Arabidopsis thaliana: one gene and its partners. The protein of the gene in region 4 interacts with the protein of the main gene of each other region in a pairwise test. Each region holds a gene or a part of one and is shown on either strand. Other genes may lie near its edges.

Region 1 (4,860 bases), on a different chromosome or scaffold from region 4:
ATTAATACTCGATAAATTAATAAACACGATAAATTAATAAATTTTGTCGGTCCCAAGTTGGGCCAATATAAAAATTAATCAAAATCGATAAAATAATAAGATAATAATTTTTTTAAAATCCCTATGTAAAATTATAGTCCCAATAATATTATAAATTAATAATCATAGATCTTAAGTATATATCTTAAGACTAATTTTTATATGAAATTTTTGTTCAAACTAACTCTTTTTAAAATACAACTGATATGATCTCTGTTGTACTCACATAACTATTTGCGTATTTGATCCGTCATAGTTGATTTTGTAAAATCTTTTATTTGAGAAAGCATTGTTATGATTTGTGTAAAGAGAAACTGGATTAACTTTCATGTTTACGTTTACGTTCACGTTAATGTCGTAGATATACAGATACAAATCTTGACGAAAATAAATTAAAAAAGTCAAATTAAAATAAAAACCTAACATAATTATATATGCAAACAACAAAGCATATAGAAAATTACATTAAAAAATATTTTTAAAAGAATATAGTATTGTACTTTACGTAAATATTTCTATAAATTAATATTTATTAACTTATACGATAAATTAATATTTATTAATTTAGAGGATAAATTAATATCACTATAAATTAATAAAATTTCATGGTCTCACCATTATTAATTTATAGAGTTTCTACTGTAATACTCTGAATTCTTCTTACCAAAAAAAAAAAAAAACTAGTACTCTGAATTCTTAGACTTGGTCTAGCCGACGATACACATACATCTTGGAGATGAACAAGAACGCAAAGAAAGCAATGGCCGTGAAAGCAGCGAGCAACCAATAAAAGTAATCCACATGGGCTCGGTTCAAGTTAGAGTTGAACCAGCCGTCTTTTCCCGTAGCCCAATCAATCAAACTGATGAGAAAACCACTCAAGAAGCTTGAAAGACCCATCGCACTCAGAGAAAGCGAGAGACCAATGCTCCTTAGCTCCGTTGGGACTTGGTCGTAGAAGAATTCTTGTGTTCCCACCATAGAGAACAGATCGATCATCCCGAGTAGCAAATACTGAGGGACGAACCACCATATGGACATTGGAACGGTCACGTCCGGCTTGTCCACTAGCCCGTGTTCCCTAGCGATTTTTAGCCGTTTTGATTCTACTAATGCAGCGAGCATCATATTGAAGACTGAAAGCACCATTCCAGCTCCTATCCTTTGGAGCATTGTGATCCCAAAAGGCTTTTTGGTAATCTTCCTAGCTATCGGGAGAAATACACGCTCATATAGGGGCACTGAGATGAGAATAGATACACCAACGAATGACAATAAAGAAGCCGCTGGAATTTCTACTCCCGGTAAGATTCTTCTGTCCACCGTGACCCCTTGCTTCGTGAAGAAAGTTATGTACTGAGCGTACGGAATCGTGCTCACCACGTATGTGATCCATATCGGAATAAGCCTTACCAAAGCCTTCGCGTCATCCACGTCCCTACCACTACATGGCTCAACACCTTCTCTTGAGATCATTGCTTTTGCTAGGAAACTTGTCACACAAGGTAAAGAAATTTACACTCAAAATTATGCCAAAAGACTAAAACAAAACACAAAATATTCGAACTTACTTGAGCCGATCTTTACGTTTCTCGGACTGACCATCCTCCAATAGACCTTGATCCAATTCCAAACTAGAATGTTCTAACCTCAGTTTCCGATTCTTGAACGCAATAACAAAAACTCTACCGATTCTTGCAAAAGTGTTACTACTATTAACCTCCTCATGATGTCCCTTTGGGTATCTATATATCTTCCTCCCGAGCAAGAAGATAGCAAGAGCCATAACCATAAACAAACAAGGAATCCCAAACCCAAACGCCCAATTAACATTTTCTTGAACATAAGCGACCACAATAATCGATATGCTTATTCCCGCAGATAAACTCAAGAACCACCAATTGAAAAACGACCCTCTCGCTATTACCTCCTTCGGATCTTCAGCATCAAACTGGTCCGCACCAAACGCTTGAACACACGGTTTGTGTCCACCTTGTCCGATCGCCACCAAATACAGAGAACAGAAGAAAAGTGTATTAACCCAAATAGATGGTTTAGCAGAAGCGTCGTTACGTTGCTTAGATAATCCCATTATGATTAAAGAAGCTGATAACGTCAATAGTCCTAGCCCCTGTAATAATAATAATCCTCCAAATTCAGCTAAAATCCCGGTTTAAATCATACAAAGATCAAACCGGTTTAACTAGAAGAAGACAAAAGTACTAACCAATATGTAGATGAGGGAAGCTACGACAATAGTACGGTAACGACCAAGATAAGCGTCAGCTACGAAAGCTCCTAAAATAGGAAGTATAGAGGCAGTTCCCGACCACGTGTTCACGTTCACGGCAGCTTTCGCCGTCGATTGTCCGAGAGGTCCGGTGAGGTAAGTAATCAAATTGCAGGCAATCCCAAAGTAAGCAAACCTCTCTGCAACTTCCACACCTAAACAAATCATTTAAGACTGGGACTTAGAAGTTTAACTAGAAAAAGAAAAAAAATTGGATTGTTTCTGATGTGTTTTACCTATAATGAACCAGGCCGATCTCCATCCGCCGGTGGAAGATTTTCCGGCGGGAAATCCACGGTGGTCGACGGAATCGCTAACGTAATCTTCTAAGAGTGCAACTTCTTCCTCTGGTATCTTCATTTCTCTCACCAATAGAGGTTGAGAATCTCTGTGAAAACTTTTTAAAGGGTAAATGCCTAAATGAGATTTTTAAGCTAAAAGATCTCTTTGTCTTGCGCAACTAGTGAACACGATTACATTAATTTATGATATTTTGGGTAACTAAACTTTCTAGTCTTTCTTTTATGTGTATCTGTATATTTATTGGCATTTGAGATGAGTGTACTATACGCGTTAAAAAATAAGTATGCAATTACATTATCTTATTTGTATTTTTATTTTATATAACTTTCCGATATTATTGTATTATTACGCAATAATACGCATACTTCCTTTGGACAAGTGATACACGTACGAGCTAGATATTTGCCATGTTTTGTTTTGTATCAGCAAATTCTTTTTGTCATTTTTTTCAATCAAAAGTCAACATCAAGGGTAATTTGATTGATCACGACTTATTCTTAAAATTAAGTTATAAAAAACATGTAACTTAGTGATGTACAATTGTTATTTGAGTATAAATGTTGATAGAATATTTAGATGTTTTTGGGTTGGATCGACCAAAAATCCATATATCATTCAAGCTCTTAGACTTAGGCTTAGCTAACCATAATTTTGACGTATCATTTTATTTGTAAATTCACTTACTTTTTAGTCACAAAAGCAACATAATTGATCACTATTATTTCAAAATTAGAAAATTCGTTAACAATAAAAAAAATAGACAACATTTGTATAAACATTTTACATTTGTATAAATGCTGAGACTAAATCAATAAGTTTTTAATTTGGAATATTTATTATGTAGTTGTATATTTTTCTTTCTCCTACTTGGCTAGTGGCTACTTGCATGCTCTTTGGTCCGCTTGTTGCGGTGTTCCGTATTTATGATCGAGTTATTCTTATCTCCTGATTAGCTGTCACTTCATAACTTCTTTTTACTTGCAAGTTGCAGGGTAATATGAATGTATTTGTTCACAGCACAAGACTATACTCTCCACAAATCAGCAAAATACATTCTACACGAATGTTTCCTTTTTTCTCAAGCTGTGGTCACTAAATTTTATTTTTTGGCTAAGATGTTTGTGATAGATCAGTCAAATAGTCAAAATAATATTTGTTCATAGCAGAAATAATCTCCTGTATTTCAGTTTTGAATAGTCAAATATAGATTGATTCTGATAAAGTTGGAAACCTTATCAGCTTTGGACACACAAAAAAAAGTCTTATCAGATATGTTATCGCGCCAAGCAGATGAGATGGATTTTGAATGTTACTTTGTCTTTTCATGTGTAATAGAAACAGAAAAATTCGGATTACTCAAATTGTTGACAATTTTTCGAGTTTTTGAAAGTCGCATGCTTAAATTATGTTGGCAACAATTTTCAGCATACTGCTGATTGATTCATATTTGGTGATTACGTTTGTTTCGTTGATTGTAGATTTGTTTGTTGAAGACATTTTTTGTTCTTGGGGGTTGATGTAGTAAATGAATATTAAAATCTTTATATTATTTGCATCCACTTGAGGATAAGATAATATTGTTGTCTTGCTGAGGAACGTGTTATACGTGTAGTACGTGTATAACTTGCGTTCTCTGAAATCATTCATTTAAAAAAAAAAACCTGCGTTCTCTCCTTTCTTACTACTCTCGAGTCTCAAACATTCTCTCTTTTTTATAGGCCCAAAATATTTCGAAATCAAAAGGGGCCGAAATACGGGCCTAAATAATTTGTGTGAACCATTTTATCATACATGGTTGCTAAGTTGCTATGATGTCGTATCCTTAGGAGTTAGGATTGGTACTCACGCCTAGACTGAACGGCGTGACATGCGGAAGATCGATAAATGGCATCATGACCTAACAATATTGAAAGGATCGAGATATGTAATATCTTTAAGCTCACGAAAAGATACAAACAAACATCGAATAAATTATATTTACATGGATTCCTCTCTTTTAAAGTCAAACAAAAAATATTATGACTTGGAAGTCTTGAACATTGAATGTTCTTTAGAAGGCACTATACCGGTGTACCGGTGTTTCAAATAATGTCTTAAGTTTTAGTGGAAATTTATTTACTTCCCAAAAATGATCTCTAACTATCTTAAGGAACAACCATGCAGATAAAGAATTTTAATACTAGTTTATGTAGAGTGTTTCATATGTATTTTTTTCCGTCATCATTAAG
Region 2 (5,738 bases), on a different chromosome or scaffold from region 4:
AGTGAGATAGGTGAGTGAGAAGGGTTCCGTGAAGAGGTTATTTAAAAGAGAGAAGAACGTGGAGGAGGGGTCGGAATGATCTAGTGGCTGAGAGTTTTTCTTGGCCAAAAAGTCAGATCTGATTCAATACTTTTCTTAACCTAAAAGACCAAATTGCCCTTAATCATTTTCCTTATTTACCGTTGTAGCTCTGTTATTTTGGCAAATGTCGTCATTCCTGAGGCGAGACATGGCAACTGCATCTCACGCGCTAATCTGGAATATTCTTTAAATATTTAAGACGGGTCGGGTAAGCATGAAACGCAGCGTATTTGGATATGCTTTTATGCGCCGACCAGTGTTTGACTGCCACGAGTTCACGAGCGGCCCATTTTAGTAGACGGGTTCCATTTTCTAGAACGTAACGCCCAAATAAAATTATATTTTAGAAAAGTATATATTTCAAGTTTTCAACTCTTTAGGAGACTTTCTTTAAAAGAAGATATTTGATAGGCGTATATGGACAAGAATTTGAAAATTTTGATTTGATAAGCAATATTCAAAAAAGCAAAAGTCCCTATCAAAAACTCGATTAGTTGATGTATTTAATTCAAAAAATACTTCGTGATGGGTGAATCACTTTAGTATTTACGTGAATTAAATTATTACATGTGAATTTAAACGGGAAAAAAAAACAAGTATTACATGTGAAATTTGTTTCGAAGTGTACTTTGTTGTTACTTATGAGTCCTGTCCCGTCAATTGCTATAGTAGAGCTTATGAACGATGGATCACTTTTTACTTATAGAAGCTTTGAAGTTTGGTGCATAGTCGTGATACCTCTTGACGCGTATGAAAGAGATGTAGGGCTAGTACGAGAACATGAGCAGCTCCCGCAATGATGAACAAACCGCGCAACTCACGGAAGGTGAATCGCTTAGATGCCTCATCATCGTCGTTGGTAGATGCAACTTCCTCGGTGTTGGAATGTACATTTAGTGAATCCAGTTTTTGAAACCATTTTTTCTCCATGTCTTTCAACATTCCCAATGATCTTAGCTTCGCGATTTCTCGCGATACTTTAGGAACCAAATCCGAACCTTTCTGGAACATCTGAGAGGTAAACATAAATTAGTACGTAACAAGAATAAGTAACCAAATAATGGAGAGAAAATGAGAGGTTTGAGGAGAAGGGTACATACAAAGCCAAAGCCATTGGTATTAGTCACTCTATCTGTCATTACGAAATCATTCGGATAATTTCCGATAAGGATACTGAGATAAGGTATTTCATTGATGACATGATTAAGAGTTCCATCTCGCAAAAGTTGTGCATAGGCCTCAACTGCATTAATGGATCCGAGCTTCGCAGTCATTGACGTCGTAGATCCCCCGAAAACCATCTGATGATTTAATTGCATGCGAGAAATGGTCTTGGTTGATGTCAAGTTTGCGCTGTAACTTGAAGTCAATATTAACACCACAAAAACCCAAACTATGACTAAGAATCTTGATGACATTTTCTGTAGCTTCTCTCCTGCCAAGAATGTGCGTAATTTGTTATAGATCAAAATATACAAAAGGATGGGATTTCATGAAGAGTAGTACTCTAACATAAACACTTACTGTGAGCAAATACAATGGTTGAGAAACCAAACCAGAGCATCATACTAAGTTGTTGTCCCCAAGAGCCCTGAAATTCCGGATTAACGGACCGTTCAACTAACCAAACAACAATCCCAGTTAAGACAAAGAAAGCTCCACTTGCTAGCCACAAGGATTTTTCGAAAGGATCAAAGAAGGTCCACATCCCTTGGCTTTTCTTTTTCACTGTCAAGATTCCAATACCAATGTCAGTGTACGGCAAAGTAAAATCAACATACAAAGATCTGTTGGAAGTGATGGTGATATCACCAACTGCTGCATCATACTTGTCTCTCTGTCAAAATTGCAAACACACATTATTAGAAACATACATAATCATTTTTGACTAGAAAAATGTTTTTAAACTGTTTGCATTTTCACACCTGAGTAGAAAGTAGATAAGCAAGATTGTCATTGTTTCCACGGTAAGGTATGAATTCAAGCTCGTAGTTAAAAGGAGCAATGCAAGTCTTGAAAACCTCTACGCAGAATCCAGAGACAGTATTAACACCTGTTTCAGGATCAGGACGCACCGACACTAGATGCGGGACCTTGTTTCCTGCGGTAACTAAGACCCTAAGCACCTTCTTTTCACCTTTCTCTGCCAAAACACGGTGTCTTGGGATCTTACGAGACCTGCCAGGCCAAACAATCTGTCTTCTTTGGCTAAAACTACCACCACTCCATAATCCTATCCTTCTCTGTTTTTCTCTTCCAATATTCACGATTTCAAATGTCTCTGAGATAAATTTGTTGTCAGAGATTTGGATGTCACCACTCAAACCCTTGAATCTACTATGTCTAATTGTATCCAGAAGATCAGCTGATACATTCGAAGATGCTTCAACTTTACCACTTACACTGAACTTCTCTACTGCATTTGCTAGAATACAAGCGATATCGTGTGCGCGTAAACCGATGATTACACTAGAATGCTCTGTTTCTGTATCATCTCCCATACGTTTCCTCAATCTTGAAGTAAAATTCTTAACTTCTTCAGATACAGGGATGTAAGATTTGAAACCAATGACCCCTTGCATCGACCTAGTTATTGCAAAATGTTCCAAGTAGTTCATGGTTCTTGCAGTGAGGATCCAAGCGAACGCTTCTTCCATCAAACCTAACTTCTCTACACATTGGAAGAGACGAGAAACAAGAATCTCGGACATATGCACCACAAAAACCGATGCTCTTGAGACCTTAAGCTTCCTTAGCTGATTCATCATATGATTTTCTCCTGATGATGAGACTGCAAAAGAAGCAGAACGAGCGATATAGATTCCTTTATCTTGAAAATTCTCAACCAATATTTGCAAACTCTCACTCCAATCATCAGCATCCTCGTATATAACCACAACCGATTTACAACTGAAATCTTGTATGAGACTTGTAATTCCCTTAGCCTCTGATGTAGTATCATGCGTCCATTGAATAAAGTTATCGTATTTCTTCAAAGATAACGTGTTTGGCAAGAAAGTAGATATGACCGGAACTTTAGCTTTTTCGCTAATCGTCGCCAAAAGCTTTGCCTCTTGTAATGATTGTGCACCAACAATGGCTTCCGCTTTTGCATTTTTGAGAAGATCAGTAGCTGTTTCATACAAACACAAATTGCAGTGCAAAACGGTTAGTGCAAGACATGAGAATGTTAACCGGAGTAAACCGGCGGGACTAGGTCAATTCTTTTTTATTTGATTCAGTCTGCTTTAAATGAAGAGGAGTTGTGGATCCCACCAAAAATTGCAATAATTGAATAAGGGAGATGAAAACTCACCGGCGGCAAGAGCAATGATCGGGTCTCCTTGGGAGTCTCTGACCAAAACAGAGACTCTGGTTCGGTATCCATTGTTGATGCCATAGAAATCTGAAAGCGCTAAGTTAAAAGAAGTTTCCAGAATCTTGCCTTGTATAGAACTCAAGTCAACCACCAATCCAACCCTAACCTCTTCGAAAACATCATCGTCGCTTGGAGCAGCTACTACTCCGGAAAAGAGAAGAGCAAGAATGGAAATAGAAAACAGAATCTCCATATAATTTCTTGTATAGCTCTGTAACGTTCGCTTTGGGTTATAAACAATGGTGTTTCCATATCTACTTGTGCCATGGAATAATAATTATACTGGACCATTTTTTTTTTCCGGTCAAATTGCATTTTGATTTTCTGAAGTGTATGGTCACAATCATTTTAAATCAAACTAACGCGATATCGCACACAATCAAAGTCAATGTGTACTGTTCATCGACACAAATTGACTAGGAAACACATTTATTTCCTTCTAAAGTATAGTTGAGCCTTAAAAAAAGTTTTATTTAATTTATGTTTTCAACAGTTACTTTTAAAACTGATTTCAAAATCCAGGTTAAATACAATGTAAAATACATATGCAGGGGAAACCATAATACTAGATATATTAGCTTATTTCGCAAAGTCAATTCGTAGAAGTAAATATTCGAGTTCAAGTGATAGGACAACCAAGTGATATATAATAAAATCTACCACAACCCGAGAAGCTAAAAAAAATCACAAGCTGGTTAGTTCAACTCGTCGAGGAAAAATCAAATCAAGAGATTAAAACTCTAGTCTAGGATGATCCCACAGTCATCTCCTTCTACAATCATTAAATTATTACTCTATCGAAACCACACGCTCGCGAATACTTATAGAGTACATGTGGAATGAGATAACGTTACCAGGGAGATTAGGAGACTTGGCTTATAGAATACTTATGGAATACATCTCCCTCGCGACTTACCTGCGCAATGAAAACTTTTTCTCGTCTTGTTCAATAGTTGTACTTCGCACAAAGGATAATACGATCATAAAAAGACTCATAATACGATCTTCGATATACCCGCGCAACGATGGATCACATAAACGGTCGCATGGTTGGAAAATTTAGGGCTCATCTCTGATTGTTTTATTTTCTTCACAAAGGGGCAAAAATATATATATACACTGTATATATATATGGGGTTTTTTTTATGGTCAAATGTTATTGCCCTTCGAATAAGAGACCTTTGATTCGTAAGAAGAGATTATTATTTTATAAGAGAAGGTTATGACCGAAAGGTTTCTGAAGAAAATGAAAAATTACTTTTAAAAGGAATTTTATCTTTAAAAGGAAACAAAAGGAATGGTTAAGTTTTACATGATTGGACGCAAAAATGGAAAATTCTTTTGATTACTTCAAAAAAGGAAACCCTCATTTCTTATTAATAATACATCAAATAAAAAACTAACATGATTTTTCGCAAAATATCCAATTTGTGAAGACCCTAACGCTCGAATTTGTCATCACTTGGCTCAGTCTTTCAACTTTTGAAAACTGAAACTCCTTTTTTCTCAATACTGTTAGATAATAGAGATATACTCGAGACGATTGAGCTTCGTCAAATGGATACATGCAGTATTAAAATCAGCAGTTCAAATACAAAGAAATTTAAATCATCAAGTATGAATATGTATGATCATGCTTCACGATCGAACAGACGAACACCACCAGAAACTCGACGTCCCACACGAACAGAAGATGAACCACCACAGTCTTTTCCCAATCGTAAGTGAGCCATATTGTCGCATAAGTTATCACGTAACTCGAGCATCGCTTGGTACCTTTGCTGCAGCTCCTTCGCGCTCAAACCTTCCGAAGGAAAGTTCCACCACATTTTATCTAACTTCTTTTCATTTCTCGATTCCTTCAACAGTTTCAACTTCTCTAGATCCATCGCAAGCTCCTCTTCGAGCGCCTCCATTTTTTTTACGAGGTCGTGGAGCCTTCGTTTCTTATAAGCTTCGACGAGGGGTCTGGTATCGTCTCTCTCTAATGGTTCTTGTCTCGAAGGGTTCTTTAACCGGTCAGCCACTTTCTTCATAGACGGATGTGCGAATGTATAGGGCTTCTTGGGTTGAGAGAAAATCAAGAAAGCCACTTCAACGTCACACATTGCTACGAGCTCGTTCATTTTCTTAAAAATTCCGGTTTTACGTTTTGAGAACGTAATCATCCTATCTCCATAGTTCTCCACCTTCTTCATCTCGATCTTTTGCTTCCCCTTTGTTTTTCTTCCCTTTGCTTGCTTCGTAGATGACATGTTTGCAGAAACCAGAACTAGTG
Region 3 (5,778 bases), on a different chromosome or scaffold from region 4:
GATTTAAAGAACATCTTTATGGATAGCACTTGCAATATATTTACTAAATGACTAAAAATTCAATAGTTTTAACGAACAAAGAAAAAAAAAGTCAAGATAATTGAAATATCAGAAAGGTGGTTAAACAATTAAAGGATTGATCTTTATGATGTATGCAAATAGATCAACAGATGCACGTAACCTACCACAAATCTGGTTGGCACAGCGATAGCTTAATTACGTCTAGGGAGAGAATTAGAAAACCTCATTTTCGGAACCTTAAAAGGAAATAAATTGTCTTTATTCTTTACTAACTTTTAGAGAGGATAAGAATTAACCTAGTTTTATTTGTTGCCCTATCACTATCCGTATCTGAAAACCCTATGCTATCGAGAAAATATAAAAAAGAACAATGATTTTTGAAAAGGAAATATCTCACAAATCAATTCAACTTTTAGGAATGAGGCCGGAAATGTGGAACACATACAGAACAAATAAGTCCGAAAGTAGAAACTGTGGGTCTACAGGTTTCAGAGAACTGGTAGATTGATTAATAGCATTAGCAACTAGTAAAAGTAAAAAAAAAAAATGTTAAATATACAATGAAAGCAAAAAGCCAATACCTTAAAGTTCAATTTTATATTTCTTTTTTTTGGGTGTAAAACTGGGACTATACTATACATACATTGGGCTAATTTACTGAGACAGAGAGATATCTAAACCTTATGTTCAAGTGATCTCTTTCTCAATTGCACATCAAATGAGGTAACAATTACAACAAAAAACTATAAACCTCCCCCCAATTGTAATCTAAGAAAAAATGAATAACTTTAAACAAGTCAAACTTGATCTCATTGTAGAAAATCTGTAAGAGAAGCTTGTATATCTTCCAATGTTCTTCCTTTAGTTTCGGGTACCATCGCATAAATAAAGACTATACCCGCACCACATATAGTAAAGAAGATCAAGAACGTTCCTGAAACAGATTAATATATTTCAAAAATTAAATCAGATTAAAGATCTAATTTTTTTTTGAGAGTTTAATGACTCTATAGTATATTATATAGTAGTATGTATTTATACCTGATGCGTTCCACTCTAGCATGAAGTTGTAGGCGAAAGCAACAATCCAACCAAAGGACCAGTTGGCTAAGGTAACCAGAGTCCCAGCAGAAACTTTAACATTCATTGGGAATATCTGCAAAATAAAAAATGTAACATTTTTTAGAGCTGGAAAAAATATATATATGTCGGTTTTTGAGGAGTTAATGTTAATGTTCATGTTTGTTTACCTCAGACATGATGATCCATGGTAAGCCTCCCATGCCTACGGCAAATGAAGAGATGAAACCCTGTAATATGATGTCAAATTCAGATCAAGTTATACAAGAGCTATACTTTAAGTTGCTTGTTTATTATGTCTAAGAAATGACTTTAAACGTACCACTACACCGATACATGTGAAAATCGGAGTGAGCTCATCAAGCATGCCATATGACTGTCCAAGAACAAAAGTAGAAAAATTTTAGTATAACTGGTAAGAATCTCCAATAAACAGCAGCAAAAAAAGTTTGTATATATCTTTGGTTAGAAAGCGAATCGTTAATGTTAATTACCCGAAAGCAGAAGGAAAAACTGAGGAGCAAGCTGAAAAAGCACATTCCACCGGTAGAGGCCTGTAAATAAAGATCATTCATCTGTTAAAAGATATATGCTAAATTTTGTTGCTTCATTTGATATTTGACCAAAAGATCAGATAGCAAAATCTTACCAATAGAAGTGGTCTTCGTCCCATTTTCTCAACCAAAATCAGACCCAATAGAGCTTTTGGTATCTACAAAAGCAGAACACATGAGCATAAGTGTACTTCTTGGCAAGATTTTTCACGAATAAATGAAACTACGTACAAAGACATACCATGATCACTGCAAGAATCATTGAGCCAATGCTGCTTGGAAACCCTGCCATTAGTAAGAAAATATTTGTTACTCCCAAATGAAGACAGTAAATTATCGTAACATGCGAAACAGAGTTTGTTTATCTATTTACCTCCTTTATCAAATACGCTACCGACATAGTACATAAGTCCTGAGCTTCCAGAGAGTTGTTGTAGAAGCATTAGTCCCACACCAATCTGAACAAAATGTCACAAACTTCAGAGAGTAAGTATAACGGTACAAGAGAAAATCAACTTTTTTTGTCACAAAACGTTTGAGAATAAACTTACAACAACAGATGGAGCATATCTTCTCTGAAACAAATCCATAACCCGCGATTTTGGTCCTTCATCAAACAAGATCATGGTTTCCTATAGTTGACATTTCCAATGATTTGTTCATTAGTCATGTTTTATTGAAAACAACACAATTTAAAAACAGAGAGATGTGTGAAAAGTTGCAATACTTTGATAGTGTTGGCTTCTTCAGAGATATCTGCATCATCTCCGCGAAGACTTTGCAATGAAGCTCTACATTCTTTTTCATGTCCCCATTTTCCCTATACACCATTGTAAACCATATTGAGTTTTACTTCACACTTTTTTTAAAAAAGATCAAAACTTAAAAAGGGCTAAACGTACCAGTAGTCTAGGGGACTCTGGAATAAAGAACAAAGTCACAACTTGCAACGCACATGGAATGAGACCTGAGAGACAGAAACCGATAAACTTAAATCACTTCTTGATGAAAATTTCATAACTAACCTGCTAGAAAGAAAAAAAGGATTAGGAAGAAGCTTACCGATTAAGGCCAAGTTACGCCAATGAACAAAATTTCCAATGACGTAGAATAAAGACAATCCACAACTCTGCATCAGCTGTAACGACATTTGAACAAATTTTAAGAACATTAGTATAATATATATCTTTTTTATTTTATGGTTATAAGAATTTATTCTCTAATTATTCTTTAGTTTACCTGATTAGCAAATACAAACGCTCCTCGAACATGTTTTGGTGTTATTTCTGCAATGTAAACTGGTATCTGAAGGCAACAGAGTTAACACAAAGTCAGTAAAAATAAATAAGTATATAATACACAAAATAAATGGAAAAAAAGAAAGTAAAAGAATTATTACCACATAGCTTAATAAACCAACTGCAAATCCTGTGGATAGTCTTCCAATATCAAGCCACATGGAGTCTTTTGCTAATGCTACTGCAACCCAACCGAAGATGCAGAAAATTTGAGCAAACCACATAGTCTGTTTAAGAGAAAAATTCATCAGTACATGATCTTGAAACATATGTTTGTATGAATTTCAAATTGTCAGGAAATTTACCCCTTTTCGACCCATGAGATCTGCAACTTTCCCGCTGAAGATGGCACCAATCATTCCTCCAAAAGTCATGATTGAACCAAACATGGAGTACTGAAGTAGTAAACAAAAACAAAAAAACAGAGTAATTTAAGCAAAACTAGCACTTTTTGAGTAAAGATTCAAGAAAAGAGAGAGGGTTGCTTCTTACTTGTGCAACAGAGAGACCTAAATCATTTATGATCCCTGTTTGAGCAACTGATGAATAACCTGCCTGTAAAATCCAACCCCAAACTTTCAAATCACAGAGCAAAACAAACAGAGAAATTGTTTTAAAAAAAAGATGAGTGATTTGATGACTAACCGCACAACCGAAGCAGAAAGAGCCACAAACAGAAACGAAAGTACTGAAAAGTACAACAGCAGTGATACGACATTCGTTGATGTCGTTTTGGTTCTTCCTCAGTAGCAAACCAGCTTCCAAGTTTCTTGAGTTCTCCGACATCGTCATCTTTAACTTCTCCACGGAGAAAGAACAGAGAGAGTTTTGTTGAAAGGGTTCTGAAGTTATATTTACGAATAAATATTTGCTTTTTTGTCTTCCATAAGAGGACTGAGTTTAAAGCTGATTTATATTCCTTGATTAATGGAGGAGGAAAGGCAGAGGTCAGCTTCCCCAATCTTTTCTTTTGTGTCACGTTTCTGTTGGGGTTTTATTCAATTTTATATACACGTATTTTGTTTTTTAATTTGAAATTGTATCTTCTTCTGTTTTCCTTATTTAAATTTTTAAATATTGTGTAATTTGTAATTGGACTGGCGTATGAATTTTTTGTTGTCAATACGTATGATATTTATTTTTGTTTACTTTTTTTTTTTCTTGGCCGACAGGCGAATGATATTTATTTAAAAGTTTTGCCTTTTTGAAAGAATATTTATTTAAAGTTATGTGATTCATCATCATCTTTATGAAATTGTGTTTTGTGTCTTAGTGGATGCTTTGATTATTTTATGCTAGTTGTTATCCACTCTTTATTTATTGGGTAATTTTGAAGGTGGTCCCTATACCGAATCAAAACCGTAATTGGGTGAAATTTTGTGATGAATTTTATGTAAGTGAATGTCTAGATACATTTATGAATCCGTTTTACATAAACCAGTTTAGTGTTAACCGGTCTAATTAAGTTTTTCTTTTCTTTTTTTGTTTAAGCTTTGGTTTTGTCTTTTTGGTCTGTTTTTTTTTTATATATAACCAAACAATGTAACTATTTTGTTCTCAAAATAAAATAAAAATAAACAATAAACACATGCCACATGTTCTACCGTTATCTAAAGATCAGGATATCCTAGCTACTATATTCTTATCCATGGAGCAAACCAGATAAAAAAAGTTTTTTTTTTTGTGTGTGTGTCTTTTTGTTATGGTCCAGTTCAATAACCAATAACCATTTGTTAGTCATATTTGATTCAGATTTTTTTCCCAAACTATTCCTTAGACAATCTGACGTCATTACTAAACAAAAATCATCCTCAATAATTTAAAACACTGAAATATCCGATAATTATTTAATATTTTAATTCTAATTTAAAACACTAAATATTATTATTTTTTGAATTAATGAATCGAGCCAAATTAATCATCTATTTAGAATCGTCTAGAGCGTATACGTACTATTTTGGTTTTAATAGAAGTGTGATCATTTGAGAAAATCCAATGTATTTTTTTCCAAAAAAATATTATTTAATTACCCATAGTCAAGATTAATTATAAATAATATACAACAGAATTTTGTCAATGTAAAGCTAATTTGTTTATTAACTCGAGTATAAAATGTCAAACATTATATTGAAAAACGAGTTCTTAAATAATCTGGATAAGAGTAAAATACAATATTTCTTACGTGAATAACCAACTTACAAATATTATACTACCTACGTAGTTAATCAATTCATCACAAATTGATATGAGTTGTCACACTTGCTATAGTTTCCATGCAATAAATAGTAAACGCGTTGATCGTGGTTTGTTTGAAGTTTACATAAAAAAAAAAAAGTCGTGCACGTTAGCTATTGCGTTAGAGAAAATGATACAACTCAACATTCCTTGTAAGCAAATCTAGAAACTACTACATATCCATTTTTCAAATGTCTTACGTTCAATCAACGGTTTCCCCTCACACTTCTTCATATATTTTGACATTTTTGTCAATATCTAATTTGATACGACAGACTTTTCTCTTTCTAGTTGCGGACACAAGGAATCATCAACAACCTTTGAATTTTCCCGGCAAAAAAGGTATTTGTTGTCCTATCTCATTCTATCAATAAAAAGGAAAAAAGATCAAAGGCAGTTTTAGGCGTTTAAACAAAATAAAAGATGCTGCCAAAAAGAAAAACAAAAACACGATTTAGGAATGCTTAAAGAAGAGAGAGAGCGATGTTCATTTTTGTAGCCTTACCAATGTTACGAGGCTCCACCTCGATAGAGCAACATTACATTCACTAAAATCAAGGAAGTACAAAGAGTAATCAACGTTATTCGTC
Region 4 (4,230 bases):
GTGATCGCCTTTTTATTCAAGGTATACACACTTCGGAAATATTTTATCAAGATTCTTTGCAGTTCTTTCCTCTACATTTTGGATGACCTTGAATGGACTTGTGACCAAAAACAGAGGATGTGTTTTGTTTATTCTTAGTCATGGTTTCTCCATTACATCTAGAATTCCCATAAGTGCTTGTTTCATCTTGGGTTACAGGTGCTGGGAATTAGATGGTCATCAATCTTTTATGTTGAGAGTGTAGCAAGAGTGAAAAAGCTCTCATTAAGTGGATTGTTGCTTTACAAGTTGAGAATAGCTGATCAATTCTTTGTTCAATGGCCACAACTGCATAAGAAGTATCCTCGGGCTCACTATGTTGGGTGCCTGATGTAAGCTGATTGGAACTCTACTTACACCTAGATATATTACAAAAACTTAGAAAGCTACATAGTGTACACCTTCTCTTTATATGCAGGATTGAGTTTTAAACAATGAATTTTTGTAATCAGCTGTTTTGACTTTGTTAATGACTTAATGCTATTTCAGTGAGCTTATAATGTGATTTTGGTCATCTTATTCCAAACTAAACCAGAATCGTGCACAACATATATTTAAATAAAATATACTTCATGTTACAATGATGCACACATTTTCAGGCTGTGACTTCACTTGAGTCGCATCACAAATCTATTATGTTTATTTTTCATTGTAGGCTGCCTTCATACCAATAAAGAAAAGTAAGTTTACTTGATCAGCTCGCTTTAGTCTGTAAACTGTGTGTGCCACAATCTTTGAAGTAACAGCTTATTTTGATTGCTCACTTGACCCTTCTGCTTCTGGTCGGTCAGGGGATTCTGTTGTTGGTATTTCATTACTTTTCTTCAAGTTTGTTTCATCAAGATATTGTTGGTAGACATAGGATACGAAACCCCAAATAGCTAGAATCATAGAAATCACCTTTAAGCCGTTCATTTTGTCATGGAAAATGATGACAGCCAGGATAGGAACCACGGGGAGTCCCAAAGCGCTTATTGCATTTGAGAATAGGGAGGAAAGCTCGAAGATCAGTCCTGTGCAACCGATGGAGAATACCTGCCAGGTAACAGCTGTCCACACTAGGTTCATGACATAGGATACCTTCCCAAGTTTGTAGTTTTCCATTTCACTGCTCAAAGTTTTCCACTCGCTACTAGCAAAAAGCCCCACCACGCTAACACAACTGGCCACTAGACTCATGTAGATTATCATATTTATAACTTCTGAGAAAGTTTGCTTCTTTAAAACTTTACGAAAGGCTAGCTGTTGTAGGGATAAGAGTAGACCAAACCCAGCAGATGCACCAACGGTGCATACGAAACCTTTGACATACTCTCCTTTTGTAACTTTTTTGGAATCTGATTCCTCGTTATTAAATGCAAGGAGGGTGGAAGATATAGTGAGGAGGAAAAGAGAATTCAAAATGATAGGAGTAAGTTTTTGTGAGTTGAGTAAATAAGAGAAGAAAGCGGTGAAGGCTAACTGTGATGCACAGATCAGGGAAAGGGTAGAAACAGGTAGGTAAAGCAGTCCAATGGAATATAGGTAGCAAGCTGCTCCTACAAGAAGTCCAAGCACTATGTAAACTAATGCACGGTTCCTAAGTGAGGTTAATTTGCCATCTCTCTGAGTTGTTGTATGTGTTTTGACTGACAAGAGATGATATGGAAGTAGAATAGGAAAGCCTACAAGCTGAACTACCGTTGCTAGCCATTTGCTGTTTCCTCCATTTTCATAGTATAGTCTGCCCAGAATTGTAGCAACTGATTGGCCTGAAATGACAAAGAATGTATAGATAGCAACCCGGAGCCACCGTTTGTATGTATTAGAGTGAGATAGTTTTGTTTGGCTGCCACTGACCGAACTTCTTTCGTCTTGATCTGTTGGAATTGGTTCTTTTCCCTGCTGAACTGGTGAGTGATGGAAAATAACGCAAGAAATTAGATTATGACTTATTTGTTGTCACACATGAAAAATATTGATATATTGAATAATAAGATACCATAACCATATTTTTCGTCTTTTATTTGAAGATAAAAGACCAGTAGGTTCTCGAGGAACTGGTTTATGCTTACTCACCAATGACTTGTACTTCTTGATCCCCCTTCATAGTAGATGTGGAATCCCCCTCCTTCGAGATGGACAAGGAGGTACTAACAATGTTCTGAATAGATTCTAAGTATTAGGTATCTTATTATCAAATTGCTTGGTTACTAGTGCTACCAAGTGATTGCTTCTGTGATATGGGTGAGACACGCTGTAGCTATATATTTAGAGATTAGGAATCGGTCATCGTCTATGTTTTGATTGTACTTGTCCCCACATTCAGTAAATGCCAACTGTATATCTTCTCTTGCTGTGAATTTAATTTCTTTTGTCACTATTGTTGATCTAGAGATGAGTCGAGTCAAATCAAGAAGGAAATGATGTGTAGCCATTAGTCACTCAGTATTTTATACCTGTGTGACACATCAGCCATATGCATAGACACAAACTTAACACGCATGCACACAAGTTGTAAGATTGTATGACCGTCAGGATGTCTATTTTGAAAGTTATTCGTCTTCTTTAATTTCTTTGGCTTGTTCCGTCTGACTATCTTTCTCTTATGAGATCAGGCATGTGGATTAGAAACACATTTATGGAGATGATGTCTCGCTTCTCTTTTCAAAAGAAGACATTTGCACCACAATATTGGATGGCAGAGGAAGTCACTTTATTAACTGCTAAGATGGAGACTGCCAAATGGTATTATTTCTGGTCATTTACTTTTTGTACAAAGCTCTGTTTCACCAAGGATGTTTGGACCTGTCTGATTAATATTTCTTCTTTCTTCATTAGAAATGATTTTCTGTGTGTCCTTGTTTCACAATGTTTCAGGTAAAACTAGAAAGTGGAATAGTGCATTGAAATCTTTTTAAGTTATGGCTAAGGGTTAATTTTTATCAGGTGTCACACTCACAAAATTGACATGGTTTTTTATTAAATAAATATCTACTTTTATCAATCTGCCTACAGGTTCTTGTTACATACAGGGTTGAGTTACATTTAATCTTTAGCTGCTATGAACCCAAGTTTAAACGATGAACTTTTGTAATCAGCTGTTCTAAACTTAAGATTGTTGGTTCACTGAGATTACAATGTAATTTGGGTAATCGTAATTGAAACTAAACCAAAGTCATTCACTACTTATTTAAATGAAATCTACTTCCTGTTACAATGATGCAAAAAATTTCAAGCTGAGACTTTACATTAGTTGCATCAAAAATGTATTGTGTATTCTTCAATGTAGGATGCCTCCAGGCCGATAAGTAAAGTAAGTTTACTTAACTAGATTGATTGAGTCTGTAAACTGCGGGACAGCATCTTTCAAAATATCAGCTTATTTTGATTGCCAAGTTGACTCTTCTGCTTCTGGTGGGTCAGGGGATTCTGTTGTTGTGATTTCATGATTTTTCTTCAAGTTTTTGTCATCAAGATATTGTTGGTAGACATAGGAAGTGAAACCCCAAATAGCTAGGATCATAGAAATCACCTTTAACCCATTCATTTTGTCATGGAAAATGATTACAGCCAAGATAGGAACCACTGGGAGTCCCAAAACGCTTATTGCATTTGAGAATAGAGAGGAGAGCTCGAAGATCAGTCCTGTGCCACCGATGGAGAATACCTGCCAGGTAACAGCTGTCCACACTAGGTTCATAATGTAGGATACCTTCCCATGTTTGTAGTTATCCATTTCACTGCTCAAAGTTTTCCACTCACTGCTAGCAAAAAGCCCCACCACGCTAACACAACTGGCCACTAGACTCACGTAGATTATCATATCCATAACTTCTGAGAAATTTTGCTTCTTTAGGACTTTTAGAAAGGCTAGCTGTTGTAGGGATAAGACTAGACCATAACCAGCAGACGCAGCAACGGTGCATATGAAACCTTTGACATACTCTCCTTTTGTAACTTTTGTGGAGTCTGTCTCCTCATTATTGAATGCAAGTAGGGTGGAAGATATAGTTAGGAGGAAAAGAGAATTTAAAATGATAGGGGTAAGTTTTTGTGAGTTAAGAAAATAAGAGAAGAAAGCATTGAAGGCTAACTGAGATGCACAGATCAGGGAATAGGTAGAAACGGGTAAGTAAAGAAGTCCAATGGAGTACAGATAGCAATCTGCTCCTACAAGAAGTCCAAGCACTACGTAAACCAATACACGGT

What was found.
Region 1: the proteins of AT4G18220 (region 4) and AT1G22570 interact in a protein complementation assay, tested with the Arabidopsis thaliana proteins (one large-scale study listed by BioGRID).
Region 2: the proteins of AT4G18220 (region 4) and GLR1.1 interact in a protein complementation assay, tested with the Arabidopsis thaliana proteins (one large-scale study listed by BioGRID).
Region 3: the proteins of AT4G18220 (region 4) and ESL1 interact in a protein complementation assay, tested with the Arabidopsis thaliana proteins (one large-scale study listed by BioGRID).

Annotation. Positions count from the first base shown.
Region 1 is NC_003070.9:7,975,885-7,980,744, forward strand, and holds AT1G22570 (Major facilitator superfamily protein), read right to left. Parts: upstream 2,927-4,860; 5' UTR 2,690-2,926; coding exon 2,566-2,689; intron 2,564-2,565; exon of another isoform or gene 2,498-2,563; coding exon of another isoform or gene 2,485-2,497; coding exon 2,267-2,484; intron 2,171-2,266; coding exon 1,611-2,170; intron 1,532-1,610; coding exon 736-1,531; 3' UTR 540-735; downstream 1-539.
Region 2 is NC_003074.8:1,075,276-1,081,013, reverse strand, and holds GLR1.1 (glutamate receptor 1.1), read right to left. Parts: upstream 3,779-5,738; 5' UTR 3,654-3,778; coding exon 3,398-3,653; intron 3,215-3,397; coding exon 2,007-3,214; intron 1,919-2,006; coding exon 1,606-1,918; intron 1,517-1,605; coding exon 1,182-1,516; coding exon of another isoform or gene 1,093-1,181; coding exon 778-1,092; 3' UTR 510-777; downstream 1-509. Other genes in the region: AGL57 (AGAMOUS-like 57), read right to left, coding at 5,092-5,715. UniProt on the Arabidopsis thaliana protein: Glutamate-gated receptor that probably acts as a non-selective cation channel. Can transport sodium, potassium, and calcium ions.
Region 3 is NC_003070.9:2,865,413-2,871,190, reverse strand, and holds ESL1 (ERD (early response to dehydration) six-like 1), read right to left. Parts: upstream 3,933-5,778; 5' UTR 3,746-3,932; coding exon 3,599-3,745; intron 3,509-3,598; coding exon 3,446-3,508; intron 3,349-3,445; coding exon 3,259-3,348; intron 3,181-3,258; coding exon 3,055-3,180; intron 2,961-3,054; coding exon 2,895-2,960; intron 2,794-2,894; coding exon 2,718-2,793; intron 2,623-2,717; coding exon 2,558-2,622; intron 2,476-2,557; coding exon 2,383-2,475; intron 2,288-2,382; coding exon 2,207-2,287; intron 2,114-2,206; coding exon 2,029-2,113; intron 1,941-2,028; coding exon 1,897-1,940; intron 1,814-1,896; coding exon 1,751-1,813; intron 1,677-1,750; coding exon 1,596-1,676; intron 1,478-1,595; coding exon 1,424-1,477; intron 1,332-1,423; coding exon 1,272-1,331; intron 1,178-1,271; coding exon 1,063-1,177; coding exon of another isoform or gene 1,001-1,062; exon of another isoform or gene 961-1,000; intron 956-960; coding exon 831-955; 3' UTR 535-830; downstream 1-534. UniProt on the Arabidopsis thaliana protein: Sugar transporter. Transports monosaccharides across the vacuolar membrane independently from a proton gradient.
Region 4 is NC_003075.7:10,076,666-10,080,895, reverse strand, and holds AT4G18220 (Drug/metabolite transporter superfamily protein), read right to left. Parts: upstream 2,259-4,230; 5' UTR 2,169-2,258; coding exon of another isoform or gene 2,129-2,168; coding exon 2,098-2,128; coding exon of another isoform or gene 2,052-2,097; intron 1,929-2,051; coding exon 787-1,928; 3' UTR 534-786; downstream 1-533. Other genes in the region: AT4G18230 (UDP-N-acetylglucosamine transferase subunit ALG14-like protein), read left to right, coding at 1-21, 199-375; PUP10 (purine permease 10), read right to left, coding at 3,401-4,230.